2 linked regions of the Sus scrofa genome follow. The protein of the gene in region 2 purifies or fractionates together with the protein of the main gene of each other region. This does not show direct contact. Links are inferred from orthologs where the notes say so. Each region holds a gene or a part of one and is shown on either strand. Other genes may lie near its edges.

The links.
Region 1: the proteins of GPC1 (region 2) and HADHB purify together in Homo sapiens (co-immunoprecipitation; 3 studies listed by BioGRID and IntAct, counting the BioPlex papers as one, with this or other methods). This does not show direct contact. The link is inferred for Sus scrofa from reciprocal best matches to the Homo sapiens genes GPC1 and HADHB.

Annotation. Positions count from the first base shown.
Region 1 is NC_010445.4:112,742,950-112,746,753, forward strand, and holds part of HADHB (trifunctional enzyme subunit beta, mitochondrial), read right to left. Parts: intron 1,962-3,804; 5' UTR 1,954-1,961; coding exon 1,887-1,953; intron 1,779-1,886; coding exon 1,734-1,778; intron 1-1,733. UniProt on the Homo sapiens protein: Mitochondrial trifunctional enzyme catalyzes the last three of the four reactions of the mitochondrial beta-oxidation pathway.
Region 2 is NC_010457.5:139,456,411-139,460,947, forward strand, and holds the start of GPC1 (glypican-1), read left to right. Parts: upstream 1-1,455; 5' UTR 1,456-1,782; coding exon 1,783-1,948; intron 1,949-4,537. UniProt on the Homo sapiens protein: Cell surface proteoglycan that bears heparan sulfate. Binds, via the heparan sulfate side chains, alpha-4 (V) collagen and participates in Schwann cell myelination.

The sequences.
Region 1 (3,804 bases), on a different chromosome or scaffold from region 2:
GCGCCACGACGGGAACTCCTTAAATGCATTTTCGACTTACAATATTTTCAACTTAGGATGGGTTTATCAGAATGAAAGTCAAGTAAGATGCAAAGTATATACAGACATAACTACTGAACAAGTCATAATTTCTCTCACTTACATTTCCAATCTGATGACTAAAAACATCAATAAAATTAGTACCACTCTAATTCCTTCATCCTAAGAGTGCCATCAAGTATAGTAGTCACATGAGCTTGAAGAGAAATTAGCTATAAAATTACTGCAACCTAAACCTCTTCAGCATGGGCACATGCCCGCTCCTGCTCCCTCCCCTCAAATCAGCTGGTCACATTCCTCTGTCTTATCACACATCTTCTTGCACCACTATCATCATCAACATGAACACAAATCACTTGAGGGCAGTGTTAGACCCCAGAGCTTGTGTCTTACGAAGGCTTACAATATAGTTGAGGAGACAGAAACACAAAAATAGTTTAAAAGCAATATAAAGAAGAATATTCCAAAAGCCAGCAAAAATGCCTTCCCTCTGTTGCTATTCAATGTGACCATCTCCCAGCTGACAAGAATCAGATCTCTCTGTGTGATCTCAAAGCAAAAGATCTGAATAAACATCAAAATTAGGAAAAAGGTGAAATGAGAAGGGAATAATTGGTTGTAAGGTTAATACTAATCTACGTTCTAGTTAGAATTGAGAGAATTCAGAAAATATATTTGTTATATGACAACATGAAACTTTTCTAGGTGTGATTAGGCAACAGACCCCTGAAAATATACTATATGTAAAACAATATAAAAATACCATCTTTTACTTATATTGGGTTTATAGTTTTCAAACTTCTTTGAAATATATTCATACTTACTTGAGGTTAACAAGGCTAAAATTGTAATTCTCTTTTAGACAAAGAAACTAAAGCACAGGGAAGTATCCCTTGAAGGCCAAACAGCCCCACAAGAAGTAGAACTGGAACAGCGTAGTATCTTCCGAATCCTGGTAAGGCACTTTCTCTATTAAGTTATTATCCAAGTAGAAATACCATAATGACACCAAACTCAAAAATCATAGGTCAATATAGGACCCAGGCAAGGAGAATAATGGTATGAACCTGTCAGGGTGTTTAGCACTGGCCATTGAAGACACATACCCACAACAAGTTCTGCAAAAGTATGTACTCAATAGTGAAGAAGTCTAACTCATTGGGTTTACCAAGGTCTAAAAGACCATACAAAATCAACAAATTTCCATCCTTTTTTCATTTCATATTGACTAAACCTTCTTTCATTAACTAGTTTCAAGGTCACATCTACTTCAGGTACAGGTCCTTCTGCACATGGACCTCATTAACAGAGAAACCTGTCACTGGAAGTTGAGTAAGTTAACTCTGGGCTCCACAATAGTCTCCAGAGGGTTTGTGAGCTAATCATCTCCAGGGCTGACAGCCAGTAGCTGAGAAAACTGACCAGCAAGGTTCATGGAACCTCTGTGACTCCATCAGGTTCCAAGTCCCAGAAAGCAAAGTCCTGCCAACATCCTTGAGCCCAACCCTACACCATAATCTATTATTATTGATTGGTCCTATACTGTTTTAATTTGAAGGCAATAGTGATGTTCAGGTTGCTTATAGAAAGGGGAGAGTTAGCAAATTAGTTTTGGTGTTTATTCAAAATTCACAAATCTAGATTCCAGAATTTAACATTTAAATAGAAAATGTTTCTTTTACAAATTACTATACCTGCGGCAGCTTGCAGCTGGGAGGAAGAGCTCAGAGGTCTTAAAGCTGGAAGACAAAATAAAGTGCTTACAAAAAGCAGTACAATACCATGTCTATGCAAGACGCTTACATATCCAAAGCTAATCTTAAAAAGAAAGAACAAATACAACTTACAAAATCTGAGGGCCCATTTTGATGTACTGGGAAGACTTTTAAAAGTGTAAGTCAAGAGGGACGTCATTGTGAAATCTAAAAAGAGAAGAACAATAAATAAATAAGAGTAAAATACATTCTGGGTTATTTGAACAATCCGTAGTTTATTCTGTAGTCTATGATCGCTGATATCTCGTCCATGGCTACTATAAAATACTCTAAAACTCACTCTACTGCCAGCTACCTTTTCTCTAATATTAATACTATTATAGCTACACTGACATAGCTTTCATGGCATGCAAACCACTAATCTAAGCATCAACCCCTCTAATCCTCACAATGACCTGTGGAGTAGGCAAGGGTGATTCTCATACCCTTTGTAATAGATGAGAAAGAAACTGAGGCATTCAGGGATTGAGTGACAACTAAGACACAGAGCTGAGATCTAAAGCCAGGCAATCTGCTCCAGAGTTTATGCTCTTCTCTAGGGTCAAAGGGGAAGAGAAATTGCTGGACAGGTCCATGAAGCCACCAACATGAACTTCCTGATTCTGATGGTTGTACTGTGACTGTGTAGTATGCCTTGTGGAAAGTTTCTAGGGAACATTTGTAGGGAATACATACTAAGGTATTCAGGGGAGATATCACCTCATACTAGTCAGAATGGCCATCATTAATAAGTCCACAAATAACAAATGCTGGAGAGGGTGTGGAGAAAAGGGAACCCTCCTGCACTAGTGGTGGGAATGTAAGCTGGTACAACCACTATAGAGAACAGTATGGAAGTACCTTAGAAAACTATACATAGAACTACTACATGACCCAGCAATCCCACTCTTGGGCATATATCCGGACAAAATTTTCCTTAAAAAAGACGCATGCACCCACATGTTCACTGCAGCACTATTCACAATAGCCAAGACACAGAATCCATCCAAATGTCCACTGATAGATGACTGGATTAGGAAAATGTGGTATATATACATAGTGGAATACTACTCAGCGGTAAAAAAGAACAAAATAATCCCATTTGCAGCAACATGGATGGAATCAGAGACTCTCATACTGTGAAGTAAGTCAGAAAGAGAAAGAGAAAGACAAATACCATATGATATCACTTTTATCTGGAATCTAATATATGGCACAAATGAACCTTTCCACAGAAAAGAAAATAATGGACTTGGCGAACAGACTTGTGGTTGCCAAGGGGGAAGGGGAGGGAGTGAGAGGGATTGGGAGCTTGGGATTAATGGATGCAGACTATTGCCTTTGGAAGGGACTGGCTATGAGAACCTGCTGTGCAGCACTGGGAACTATATCTAGTCACTTATGATGGAACATGATAACATGAGAAAAAAGAATGTATACATGTATGTGTAACTGGGTCACCATGCTGTATAGTGGCAGGGGGGAAAGGTAAAAAAATAAAAAATAAAAATAAAATTGAGAAGTAGCATTAAAAAAATATTCAGGGGGAGTTCCCGTCGTGGCGCAGTGGTTAACGAATCCGACTAGGAACCACGAGGTTGCGGGTTCGATCCCTGCCCTTGCTCAGTGGGTTAACGATCCGGCGTTGCTGTGAGCTGTGGTGTAGGTTGCAGACGCGGCTCGGATCCCGCGTTGCTGTGGCTCTGGCGTAGGCCGGTGGCTACAGCTCCGATTCAACCCCTAGCCTGGGAACCTCCATATGCCGCGGGAGCGGCCCAAGAAATAGCAACAATAACAACAACAATAACAACAAAAAAGACAAAAGACAAAAAAAAAAAAAAAAAATTCAGGGAAAGTGCAGTATCACGTCGTAACTGCTAAAAGAAAAAAAAAGTTCTATATGATGGAAGATAGTTTAAAAAAAATAATGTATATATATATGTACAACTGGGTCGTTCTGCTGTACAGAAATTGGCACAACACTGTAAATCAACTGTTCTTGAATTTAAAA
Region 2 (4,537 bases):
CCAGCCTGGCCCCTGCCCGACCCAGAAGCACGTGGCTGGAGGTGAGCTTCTAGAGGGCAGGGTGGGGGCCAGGTGTCCTGACCCAGGCGGGGCAGGTATCTGGACAGCCATGCCCGGCCCAGGCAAGCAGGAGCAGGCCTGCCTGAGAGCTGCCGGGGTCTGTGAGTCACCAGTGTGACGAGGTGGCAGGTGCTTAGGGAGGCCAGAGGTCTGCTCCCTCCACTGGGTCCTCGCTGCGGCTTCTCTCACCGTGACAGGGGCTCTGGGTGAGAAGCCTTTCCTGGGAGGCAGGGCAGATGGGAGCCCAAGCCCCCTCTGGAGCTGCTGAGCCCACAGCTCAGGGAGTCCCAGGGCAGGGATGGAGCCCTCTCTCCTGCCGCCTCCCCCAGCCCCCAGGGGGTGAAACCGGAACCCCCAGGTTCAAGGTGGGGACACTCTTGCTGGAACATGGTGATCATTTTGGGGTCCTCTTCCAAGGGGGCCCATCTCGGCCCATTAGGCATCCGGGCTCAGGGCCTGGCGGTGTCTGGGGCCTTTGCCCACATGACCGGAGAGCGGCCAGAAGCCGAGAAGCCCTCCGGACACCGCCGCCCTGCTTCTCACCTCCCTTCTCACAGACACCCCCACCCCACCCCCACTCCACGCTGCTGCTACCCGCCCTGTCCACCCCCTCCTGGTCCCGGGCCAGCGTCACTCAGCTGGTCGCTGGACACGCTCTAGGTCACGCTCTCCCCAACCCCCAGCAATCTGACCTGTTGTCGGCCCGACCCCCTCCCTTCCCCAACAGGTCACCTGCCACCGCCCAGAGGCTCAGGCCAACAGACAAGCTTCCGCCCCCCTCGCTCGCTTCTTGAGCATCCCAAGAGTCACGTGGAGGGAACAAAAAACCGGCTGACATCTCCAACAACTAAGCCATTGGTCGCCTCGACGCAGGGCTGGGAGAGCACAAGGTCTGGTCCCTGGGCTAGTTTCCCGCGTACAGCCCCCCCCGCCGCCCCCCCAACAAAATCAAGTGTGAGAGCTGGAGGCGGCTGAGACCGGCGCGGGGCCAGTAAAGGGTGCGATCTAGGTGCGGGCGGTGGATCGAGAGGCCCGAGGCTGCGGGAGCCGACAGGCGCGGCGCGCTGCCAGGGTGCAGGAAGGCAGGGCCCGAGCGGAGAAGGGGGACGGGGGGAGGGATGCCGATTTCGGCTGGGGGCGGGGAAGCCCCTGATAGGCGCGCGGCAGGCGTGATGTCACGTCCGGCGGGGGAAGCCCTGCCTCAGCACCCCCGCCCCCGCCCCCACAGGTGGTGCCGCCGCCCCGGGCGCTGGGCGTGGGGGGCGCGCCCTCCGGGACCCCAGCCGCGGCCCGCGCGCTCCCGGCCACCCAGCTTCCCTCCAGCAGTCGACGGATCGGCGCGAGCCAGGCGGTCCCCCGGGCCCGGGGAGCGGGAGGGGCGCCCGGTGCGCCCCGGATCGCGCCCCCGCGCCGCGCCGCGCCGCGCCCCGCCCCGCCCCGCGCGCCCCGCCCCGCCCCGCGCGCCCCTCCCCGCCCCTCTCCCGGGCCGCCGAGGGGCCGGGCCGGGACTGCGCGCTCGCCCGCCGCGCTCTGGGCCGCCCGAGCGAGCGGCCGGTCCTCGCGCCCCGCGCGCCCCGCGCCCCGCCGCCGCCGGCTTTTGTTGTCTCCTCCTCCCCTGCGGCCGGCGCCTCTGGACCGCGAGCCGAGTGCGCCGGGACCTTGGCTCTGCCCTTCGCGGGCCGGGGCTGCGCGGGCCCGGCCGGGGGCGCCGCCGGCCCCGCCATGGAGCTCCGGGCCCGAGGCTGGTGGCTGCTGTGCGCGGCCGCCGCGCTGGCCGCCTGCGCTCGCGGGGACCCTGCCAGCAAGAGTCGGAGCTGCGGCGAAGTCCGCCAGATCTACGGGGCCAAGGGCTTCAGCCTGAGCGACGTGCCCCAGGCGGAGATCTCGGGTGAGTGACCCGGCGCGCCCGGGGCTCCCCTGCGCCCCCTCCTCTCTCCCGCTCCGCGCTGATCCGCCCCCCGCCGCCCTCCCTCCGCCCAAGTCTCCGCGGCACCTCTCGATGGTCCCCGCGCCCCCAACACGCACCCCGGCCCCTTCCCGGCGGGGCTGTCCTCGCCGGGCAGTGGACCGGGCGGTCCCCAGCTCGGCGCGTCCTCCCGGGCAGGCAGGACTGAGCGGCGGGGCCGGCTGTCGGGGGGCAGCTGGCGGTGGCCACGGGCGACGGACTCCCACCGGCTGTGAGGGCCTCTCCGGGAAGCGCCTCGGGTCGCGCCGGGGGTTCCCGGGGTCTGCAGCTAAGGCAGCCTGGGCGCCGGCGAGGTGGGGAGCGAGCTGGGCGCTGGTGGGGCGGGAGCGGGGGGAGAAGGCGGAGGGGCACGACCTCTGCCACCGGGAGCGGAACGCCGGCTCGCAGGGATCCCTGCCGAGGAACTTGTGCTTGCCTGGCACTCCGGGCGCCTCCGGCGGGGAGTCCAGCTGCAGGTGGTCGGCGCCTTGGATCCCGCCCAGGGGCCATGTCATTTCTTTGTAAGAACATCGCCGTCCCAGGCGGCCTCAGCCCTGCAGCTGCCTGCAGTCCTGCCCACACCCTCCCTGCGGGCCTCTGAGGAGCTTTAGGGACAGAAGCGAGGGGAGGGGGTGGGGCACAGTGTCCTAAGAATTTCTCAAACCCCCCCAGGCTTCTTGCTCAAACTGCAAACATGTCCAGAAGCACACTAGATCTGCGCGTCTGTGCAGGGTGCCTGGGACTCAGTGGACGAGAGCGGACCAGGTTCCTGCCCTGAGGGACTGACTCCTCCCAAACTGGGGGTGGTGGCAGGGCTACCCTCAAGTGGTGACACGGGGGACATGGAATGACCATGGCCACAGGGATTCTGGATGAGAGGAGTGTGAGGGGCAGGTCCATGGCCATGCCTTGCTGGAGAATGGGGGTCGGGGCAGGGGGACAATCAGGCCCTGGACCCCTGCCCCCAGAAGGGCAGAACCCACGGCAGGCGCCTTAAGAGATTCCTGGACAGCCCACTGCCTGAGGCTCCAGAGAAACTTCCTCTCAAGGCCCCCCCCGCGCAGGCCTTCCTGCGCCTCTGCTGACTGAGCCCTGTCTTTAGGGCTGCCACCCTCCCAGGGGACAGGTCTGGTGGGCACATCTGGGTGCCCGAGGCAAGCGTGAGGCCCCCTGCACAGTTCGATTCCTGCCCCTCCCCCACTCAGCCCCACAGAGGAGCTGGGGGACCCCTGGCCTTTCCGGTGAATCTCTCCTGGACCCGGGGGTCTGCGGGCTGCTGAGCAGCTGCCCAGCTGCCCCACCCACCCTGATCTCGGACAGCACTCCCCCAGGGTCCCCTGGACCCCACAGCCCTCCTTCAGACGCCCGCTCCCACTCGGCCCCCTAAACTCGATGGCATCCCCAGGCCTCTGTCCCACTTAGGCTGAGACAGAGCGGCTGAGTTTGGGCGGCCGCCAAGGGCTGGGCTAGAGCAGGGCAGGCTGGAGAAAGTGACGTGGGGCTGGCAGGGACGCTGGGCCCTGGCCCCCTTGGGTTGGAGGGTGCTGCGGGTTAGGGACCCAGGACCAGCGAGACGCTTTGCTGTGGGTGAGATATGGGGGGGCGCGGTGCTGCTCAGCCGGCTGGGAGTTTGGCTGCCCAGCAGTGGCCCAAGCATCACGCCAGCCAGGGCTTCGAGGGCCACACACGCACACACACACACCCCCACCCCAGCCTGGACTGCGCACCGTCCCTGCCCGGGCCCCGTGGCCCCCTCACCCCTGCTCCAGGGGCTTCTGGGGAGCTGCTCTCCCCTCTGGCTGCACCCCCCCCCATGAACAGCTGAATTCGAGAGCACCTTGCCCGGTCCAGGCACCGAGGAGCGGGCCAGCCCCACGTGGGTGAAGGAAGCAGGGTGACCTCCCAGGCAGTGGCCAGTCCCGTGCCCTCCTGCGCTGGGCAGCTCGGCTTGGCCTCCGTGGACGGCGCGCCCTCTGGTGGCCCCGCGGTGGCACACTGCTCTAGGGAGCCCGGCCTCCCCGCCTCGCTGCTGCAGGCCCAGCGGCCGCTCCTCTCCAGCACGGGGACCCCTAGGGGTGGACGCGGGGTGAGAGTCCGGCCTGGGCCAGCTGCGGGGGTGGCGGCTGGGAGGGAGGGCGGCCCTGGTCTCAGGGTGGTCTTTCCACCTCTGCCTGCCCCACGGAGTGGCACCAGGGTGGGCTCATGAAAGACGACCCGTCCCCGCGCGCGGGGCTCCCCTTCAGGACTTGGAGCAGTTTTTTGGATGGCTGGCCAGGCCTGGCGGTGGTGAAGGCAGCAGACGGCCCATTTTACAGTGAGGCGGCCTGGGAGGCTGCAGTGGGCAGGCCACGGAGGCCACACACCTCAGGTCACCTCCCTCCAGCCAGAGCACCGCACGGAAAGTGAGGGCCAAGCCCACCCCGGAGGCTGGCCGAGCTGGGGAAAGACCCAGCCCCTGCTGCTTCCCCCCCTCCCTCTTTCCCTCTCTCCATCTCTCTCCCTCCCTCTCTCTCTCCATCTCTCTCTCTCCTT